2 linked regions of the Oryctolagus cuniculus genome follow. The protein of the gene in region 2 purifies or fractionates together with the protein of the main gene of each other region. This does not show direct contact. Links are inferred from orthologs where the notes say so. Each region holds a gene or a part of one and is shown on either strand. Other genes may lie near its edges.

Region 1 (4,593 bases), on a different chromosome or scaffold from region 2:
TCTTAAAATCCACCCGGTCCCCTGGTCATGCCCACCAGACATCTCTCCAGCCTCTTTCCACGAGTGCCTGAAGCCCGCTCTGCTTGGAAATCCACAGGGTCCTATCCCACCATGTCTCGGCTCATGCCGTTCCCTCTCCACCCCACCCCTGTCACCCAGATGGGATCCCCCGGCCCCCATTCCCTGCGCTTCGAAGCACGACCCCCTCAGAGCATCAGATAAAGGGGGCAGACCTCTCAACTGGTCTGAGCGCCCCAGTGAGTGGCCTGGGCTTCCTATCGCCGCAGGTGTGCTAGCAAGAACTAAAATAACTCGGCCGCCCCGAAGAATGCTCCTAGGCCTTTAGTGCAAAATCCCAGGTGGGCAGCTGGGGCGCCGCAGGCTGAGCTGCCGCGTGGGCCGGACCGAGTGCCTAGGATGTGGCACCACCTCCACTTCCGACCACATGGGAGACAGCAAGGGACGCTGGAGTCCCGGGGTCCCTGGCCCTCAGCTCCCGGGGAGGCCTGCATGGAGCCCCTGGCTTCGATCCGGCCCAGCCCTGGCTGTTTTGGGCATCTGGGCAGGTCTGCCACTCTGCCTCTCCAACAGAAACAGAGCGACCCCGGGCCCCCCCAGACCTCCTCAACTTTGAACCTTCAGAGGCGACTTTTATCAAAGGTTCTGCTGGGGCAGCTGGTTACCAGAAGCCTGGGGGGCATCCGAGGCCGGCTCCGGTTGGTTCGCTAAGCCTGGCGCCCATCTGAGCCGCCGCAGGAGCACACAACGCCAAGCCCACCTTCCGAGCCCCCGCCCGGGGCGCCGGGTCCACTGCTGGGCCACGTGTGCCGCTGCCCGCCCAGCCGCCACACTGACGGCAGAGGAAGCGCGGCGGGCGGCCCAGGTCCCGCTGCCCACCCCACCATGACCAAGCCCCTCGCGGGCGCGACCTCCAAGCTGCTGGACCGCGGGGACAAACACCTGCCGCGTGGTTACGGGGGACTAACCGAGCGCTTGTGCACGGCTCACAACTCTACCCGCAGCCCTCGGGAGGCACGTGGGCCGGAGGGCGCTCCAGCGGCCAGGGAGTCTGGGGCCCCTGGCTGGCCGGCGGGCCCCCGAAAGGGCCACTCGGAACTTGGCCGAACCTCAACTTCCGGCGCCCTCGGGCTGACCCGCAGGAAACCGCCGCGACCCCTCGCTCCAGAGCCGCAAGCAGGCTCAGCGAGGAGCGCGCACCGGCGCCCTCCCGCGCACACGTCTACCGGACCCGGCTACTTTCTGGAAACCGAGACCACCGCCCCGCGTTCGCTCAGTTCGCCGCGCCACTCGCTCGCTCGCCCCGCGCCAAAAGAGCCCGTCGCATGACGCATGCGCCGGGACGACCGGCCGCGGAGGAACACTCTGCGACCCGCGCACCCCCGGGCCAATCAGCGCCGGCCTTGCACAAAGCAAATCCCGCCTCCAGGACGCGGCCGCCAGACCCCCTTCCCCTCCTTGGCCGCCTGGGCCCGCCCACTCCGGCCCAATCCCCGCCCCACGCCGCGCACAGTTAGCGGCTTGCGATTGGCTCGCGCGACGGACGCGAGCTCTGATTGGTAGAGGAGGAGTCACGAGGGCGCCGTCGTCGCCTTTCCAGAGGCGATTACTGGGCAGGCTCAGTCTTTCGCCTCAGTCTCTAGCTCTCGCTGGCAGCCCGGCGTACGTGCTCCGGCATCTTCAGTCACCCGCGGCCGCCATCGACGCCGCTCGGGTTCCTCTAGGCTCGTCTGCGCCACAGCCGCCGCCGTCGTAAGCCGCCATCATGGTGAAGCTGGCCAAGGTAAGCGCTGAGGGCGCGCGAGCGCGAGCGCCGAGGCCTGCTGCTCAGGAGCGCGCGCGGCGTCGCGGGGAGGAGGGCCTGCGCGCCGTCCCGGGCGCGTTCGAGGGCGCCATGCTGTGGGAAGTCTCGCGCGACTGGCGGGCAGTTCTCGCGTGTCTTGGCTGCTTGGCGGCGAGGTGCGGCGCGCTCCGGCAGGTGCTGAGGGCGGCGTGGAAGGCTGCGGCGCGGGGCGCGGGGCGGCGGGAGGAAGTGAGATCCAACTCGTGCGCCGCGCGCGGGCCGGGCCCCGCCTCCGGCCGCACGTGCGCCGGCTCGCGGCCCGCCACGTGGGCCCCGCCGCGTGGGCCGCGGGGTGGCCGGGGCCCGCCGGCGCGAACCCGCGGCCCTGGCCCAGCTGCCCGGGGCCCCCCGGCCGCCGCCACGTGCGCCGGCCCCGGAAGGAGGCGCCGGGGTGCGTGCACATGGTGGCCGCCGGGCACCCCCACGTGGCCGCGGCCAGGTGAGAGGGGCAGGCCGGTTGGGGTCCGAGGTGGCTTTGTTACTTTTATGCTTTTGCGACGCTGGTGCTGCCCGGAGTTCCGACGAGGGCGCTGGTGGTGTGCGTCGGAGGCTGGGGGGGGTCCTCCCTGGAAGAGTGGCCGCTGGCTACTAAGAAGGGTGCCTGGTGCTAGGGTTGAACCCAGGGGTGAATTAAGTGGTTGAGGGTAAAAAAAGGCAGATGGGTTATTTCATCACCTTGGACTTGTTTTTTAGGTTTTGTCAAGATTGACAGGGAAACTCTGATGGGCCGTACTGTTGGTCAGTTTCAGGATCGGTTATGTTTAATGCTGAAAGTGCGTTGAGGAGGGTGATGGTTGTATTTTATTGTGGGCCGTGGAATCGATGAGGGGTGTTCATGTCCTCATTGTGTGCGTTTTAGGCTGGTAAAAACCAAGGTGAGCCCAAGAAAATGGCTCCTCCTCCCAAGGAGGTAGAAGAAGATAGTGAAGACGAGGAGATGTCGGAAGATGACGAGGATGACAGCAGTGGAGAAGAGGTAACTGGGTCGCGATCGAGGAGAAATTGGGTTGCACTTACACAGTGGACAGAATGGTGTTGGGTGTCTGAAAAGGATATGAAAAGTAGTGTGTTATTCACGTGACCCGGGGTGGGGGGTGCTTAGATGGCAGGAGACCGTTGGGTGAGTACCTGAGTGTGAGCATCTGGGATCTGTGCCCTCTGCACGGCTGGAGTGAGGTTGATACACTTCTCCTGCTCAGCATAAAGGACCAGGTGGATTCTGTCCCCCCCCTGTATGTAAGGTTTGTAGCGATTGGGTGGGTTGAAGGTGCCACCTGAGCATTCACGTTCATTGCTTGCATGGAAAGTCGGTTTTTTAGAATTCAGCAAAGACTTTACTCTTAAGTGAACTATCTGATAAACTAGGAAGTTAATGAAAATAGCTTTGAATAGGAGTTAAAATGTAGGTAAATAATGGTTCTTACAGATACAGTGTTTATTTGATGTGCTGTAATTTGTAAGGGTTGCTCAGCCAATTTAAGGCTGATTTTTATCTCAGGTCCTGTCTCAGGACAAGAATCCTGTACCACTACCCACTGTATGATCCCCAGATGATTTTTAATATTCAGATTTATTTATTTGCAAAGAGAGTTATAGAGAGGCAGAGTTCTCCCATCCACTGGTTCACTCCCCAAGTGGCTGCAACGTCCAGAGCTGGACCTATCCGAAGCCAGGATCTTCTGGGTCTTCACGTGGGTGCAGGGGCCCAAGCGCCTGGGCCATCTTCTGCTTTCCAGGCCACAGCGGAGAGCAGGATGGAAGTAGAGCAGCTGGGGCTTGAATTGGCTCCCATATGGGCTGCCGGCAGCAGTTTTATGTGCTACGCCACAGCACTTTACTTACTGTTGAACCTAACATGTTAACATGGAACATATGCAGTCTTGAACCAGAGGCAGTGCCAGAATCCACCACTGGGACCAGGGCTGCCTTTCGGATGTAGCAGAACTAACTGTTGGTGTTTGCTGTTTAGATAGTCATCCCACAGAAGAAAGGCAAGAAAGCTGCTGCGGCTCCAGCCAAGAAGGCGGTGGCTTCCCCGACAAAAAAGCCTGCGGCTGCCACTCCTGCCAAGAAAGCAGTTGTCACTCCAGGTAAAAAGGGAGCCGCCACCACGCCAGCGAAGAAGGCCGCTACCCCAGCCAAAGCGGTGGTGGCGTCGGGCAAGAAGGGGGCCGCGCTGGGCAAAGCAGTGGTAGCGGCCTCGGGAAAGAAGGGAGCGGTCCTCCCCGCCAAGGGGGCCAAGAATGGTAAGAACGCCAAGAAGGAAGACAGCGACGACGAGGAGGAGGAGGAGGACAGCGAGGAGGACGACGACGACGAGGATGAAGATGACGAGGAGGACGAGGAGGATGAGTTTGAGCCGGCGGTCATGAAGGCAGCAGCGGTGGCCCCCGCCTCCGAGGATGAGGACGAGGAGGACGAGGATGAAGACGACGATGAGGACGAGGACGACGACGAGGAGGACGAGGAAGACGGTAAGGAAGTCATGGTGGCTCCTGGCTCTGGGAGGTTTCCACGTAGCCACGTGGGGTTGGATTAGAGTCCTTCCTGGGGTCCTCTGGGCTCTTCCTGTGGCCTTGAGTGTGGGGGTAGGGCGTTCTTTCCTCCAGAGCATCCCAGAGCCAGAGTTGGTGTGGGAGATCCTTCCAGACTGACTAGACGGCTCCTTTCAGACTCTGAAGAAGAAGCCATGGTGACCACACCAGCCAAAGGGAAGAAAGCGCCGGCGAAAG
Region 2 (3,798 bases):
GGCTCCACGCTGGCAGGCTGCAGCACCGCTGGGCGGGGGGCCAGGACGAGCCAGCCTGCTGACCAGGGTACAGGCCACGGCACCCACTCACGCCTCTGCCACCCCACTTGGAAACAGTTCTCCCCTCAAAACGTGACTCTACAAGCAAGAGAACCCACACACAGCCAGCGGGGCTCAGGGCAGCCCAGCTACATGCAATGCAGCTCAGGGCATGGCCGGAGCACAGGGAGCCGGGGACACTGGCCGGGCCGGGCCCGCAGCAGCAGGGTGTGCTCACACCCACAGGCCCTGAAGCCGGCAGGCCGCTCCGCTCCTGGCTCCGGACACCGGACACCGCAGGCCCCTAGCAGGTGAGTCACAGACAGGGCCGCCCGGGGCCGCCCCTCCCAGCTCCCCCAGGGCGAGCCCAGCCACATACGTTGTCGTCGTCCTCGATGGCCTCCCCCGTGAAGTAGAGCACAGCCCGCGGCACTATCCGCTCGCGGAAGAAGTGTCCGATCTCGAAGTCAGACGCTAACGTGAACTCCGAGTCTTCGTCCTGAGGGAGGGAAGGCCACGGCGGCTCACCTGAGCGGACGCCTCCCTCGCCCTCCCTGCACCCGACAGCAGCCGGCACCCTGCTGAGGGGCGGCTCGTGGCTGCTCAGGCGCTTCACCCACGGGAGCCAGGGTCTCAGCCACGTGGGACACACGGGAGCTAAGACTCGCACGGCTGGAGCCACACGGACTCCAAGGGCCCTTCACACAGCTGTGCAAAGTCAGTGTCATGGAGAAACTATGCTAGGACTTCCATGCTGCTGACTACTTTACATACGGAACCTGCTTTTCAGTCCCGTTTCCCATCAACTCCAGCCCCAAGGGAGAGGATTTCTAATGAAGCCGAGGGTCTCCAGGAGGTGGCAGTGGATCACAACGCAGTGAATACTCACTCAGAAAACAAACTGTACCAGGAAAAGCAAGGTTCAAACTTACCAGTGATTCTCCATCCCCGGATGCTAGAAAAGACAGAACACATCCACATTACAGGACAACCAGAACCCTGCAGGGCTTTGCTGGGACACGCCCCGGGCCCCAACTCCCAGCCGCCACTTCACGCGGAAGCTGGCCCAGGGCCTCCACGCCGTTCCCTGCCCCCTGACCGCCTGCTGGCCGCCTGAGAAGTGACGTTTGGGGGGGCACTCAGGAAGGAGGCGGTCCCAAGCCCAGGCTGCAGCCACTCTGCTCTGTGCTCAGGAGGAACCCGGAGGCCACACGCTGCTCACCTGAACGCACCCACAGAGCCTGGGGCCAGGTGCCCTGCACGCTGCTGCCACTCTCCTGTCTCGTGTGTGAGGGAGACGGGCACAGGGGCCAAAGCTCCCCACGCCCACCACACGCCCCGGCTCCGGCACGTGTAGGAAGAGTTAGGATCCCAAGCCCTGCCTGTGGACACACCTCTCAGCTCTCACCGCTTTCCCCACACGGCCGGGAATGCTGGCTGTATGCACAGCACCCTCGAGGCGCAGGGCAGCACCTAAGACAGCGCTCGGGGGAGCCCTCTGCGTGGGGTGCTCTGGCCCAGGGTCCTGGTGGTTCTCGACCAGCCCAGGACTCAGCCTCCACTCTAGTCCACAGCAGTGACTGCCCAACATCACATCACTTACTAACTGGAAAAACTATCTTTTGGGGCCGGTGCTGCGGCGCAGCAGGTTAAGGCCCTGGCCTGAAGCACCGCCATCCCATATGGGCGCCGGTTCGAGTCCTGGCTGCTCCACTTCCGATCCAGCTCCCTGTTGTGGTCTGGGAAGGCAGTAGAAGATGGCCCAAGTCCTCGAGCCCCTGCACCCAAGAAGGAGCTCCTGGCTCCTGGCTTCTGGTTGACGCAGCTCCGGCCATTGCGGCCATCTGGGGAGTGAACCAGCGGATGGAAGACCTCTCTCTCTGTTTCTACCTCTCTCTGTAACTGTGTAACAAATAAAACAAATCTTTAAAAAAAAAAAAAAAGAAAAAGTATATTTCTACTGAAGCATAATCTACATATCACAGAAATGTGTAATTTAATGACTAAGAATAATACTTAAGAGCTATGTATGGCCGGCGCCGCGGCTCAATAGGTTAATCCTCCACCTAGCGGCGACGGCACACCGGGTTCTAGTCCCGGTTGCCCCTCTTCCAGGCCAGCTCTCTGCTGTGGCCAGGGAGTGCAGTGGAGGATGGCCCAAGTGCTTGGGTCCTGCACCCCATGGGAGACCAGGAGAAGCACCTGGCTCCTGCCTTCAGATCAGCGAGGTGCACCGGCCGCGGCAGCCATTGGAGGGTGAACCAACAGCAAAAGGAAGACCTTTCTCTCTGTCTCTCTCTCTCTCACTGTCCACTCTGTCAAAAAAAAAAAAAAAAAAAAAAAAAAGAGAGAGAGAGAGCTATGTAACCAACACCAACAAAGTTTGTTTGTTTGTTTTAAGATTTACTTATTTATTTGAAAGGCAGAGTTACACAGGTAGAGGGAGAGAGGGAGAGGGAGAAGGGGAGGGGGGAGAGAGAGGGAGGGGGGAGGGGGGGAGAGGGAGGGAGAGAGAGAGAGAGGGAGAGAGAGGTCTTTCATCTGCTGGTTCAGATGGCGGCTTTACCTGCTACGCCACAGCGCCGGCCCCACCAACAGAGTTTTAGAACACCAGATATCATCCCTCCAATTCTCACATTCATTACTAATTATATATTTTTATCCTAAAAATTATATAAAAGTCAAAGCTACCAGGGCCACTGTTGTGCCAACAGCAGGCTGAGCTACCACCTGTGATGCCAGATCCCATACGAGAGCTGGTTCAACTCGTGGGTGCGCCACTTCCGAGCCAGCTCCCAGGGGCCCTGCCTCCTACTTTTATTTATTTGAAAGGCAGAATTATACAGGCAGAGGCAGAGAGAGAGACAGAGAAGGTCCTCCACCCGCTGGTTCACTCCCAGATGGCTACAACAGCTGGAGTTGTGCCTATCTGCTGCCAGGAGCCTGGAGCCTCTTCCAGGTCTCTCATGCGGGTGTAGGGGCCAACAACTTGGGCCATCTCTCATTGCTCTCTCAGGCCACAAGCACTGTGGCGTAGCTGGTAAGGCCGCCACATGCAGTGCTGGAATCCCATACATGTACCGGTTCAAGTCCTGCTGTGGCCTGGAAAAGCAGTGGAAGATGGTCCAAGCCCTTGGGCCCCTGAACCCACGTGGGAGACCCAGAAGAAACTCCTGGCTTCAAATCGACACAGCTCTGACTGTTGCGGCCATCTGGGGAGTGAACCAGTGGATGGACAACCTCTGTCTCCCTCTGCCTCTGTAGCTCTGCCTTAAAATGTTTAAAAAAAATGTAGACCCCCGTTTGTGTGGCACTGGCATCCCACAGAGTGCCAGCTTGAAGCCGGCTGCTCGCCTCTGACCCAGCTCCTGGATAATGTTCTGGGCCACCCGTGTGGGAGGCAGGGTGGAGTTTCTGGCTCCTGGCTTGGGCCTGGCCCTGCTCTGGCTTTGCAGCCACTTGAGGAGGAACCGGCAGATGGAGATCTCGTGTTCTCTGTCTTCTAACGCTTCTGACACTTTGTCTTTCAAACAAACAAAAACCACACCAAAGCCCATGTGTACCTGCTGGTGAAGCCAGTAAACCGCCAATATGCTCAATGCCAACTCCAAAAGATCTCCCCAAACTTATGGCTATTCTTGGCCCCAAACCAGTATTTGTGCATCTTCTAGGCTCAAAATCAAATCACAGAGAACCACCAGTACTAAAGTTTGAGCAGCAGCTAGACGAACAGGGCGAAGATGACCCAGCAGGCCTGGG

The links.
Region 1: the proteins of NAP1L4 (region 2) and NCL fractionate together in Homo sapiens (co-fractionation; 3 studies listed by BioGRID). This does not show direct contact. The link is inferred for Oryctolagus cuniculus from reciprocal best matches to the Homo sapiens genes NAP1L4 and NCL.

What each region holds. Positions count from the first base shown.
Region 1 is NC_091434.1:7,816,883-7,821,475, forward strand, and holds the start of NCL (nucleolin), read left to right. Parts: upstream 1-1,572; 5' UTR 1,573-1,783; coding exon 1,784-1,801; intron 1,802-2,720; coding exon 2,721-2,837; intron 2,838-3,830; coding exon 3,831-4,335; intron 4,336-4,533; coding exon 4,534-4,593. UniProt on the Homo sapiens protein: Nucleolin is the major nucleolar protein of growing eukaryotic cells. It is found associated with intranucleolar chromatin and pre-ribosomal particles. It induces chromatin decondensation by binding to histone H1.
Region 2 is NC_091432.1:792,251-796,048, reverse strand, and holds part of NAP1L4 (nucleosome assembly protein 1-like 4), read right to left. Parts: intron 995-3,798; coding exon 972-994; intron 539-971; coding exon 419-538; intron 1-418. UniProt on the Homo sapiens protein: Acts as a histone chaperone in nucleosome assembly.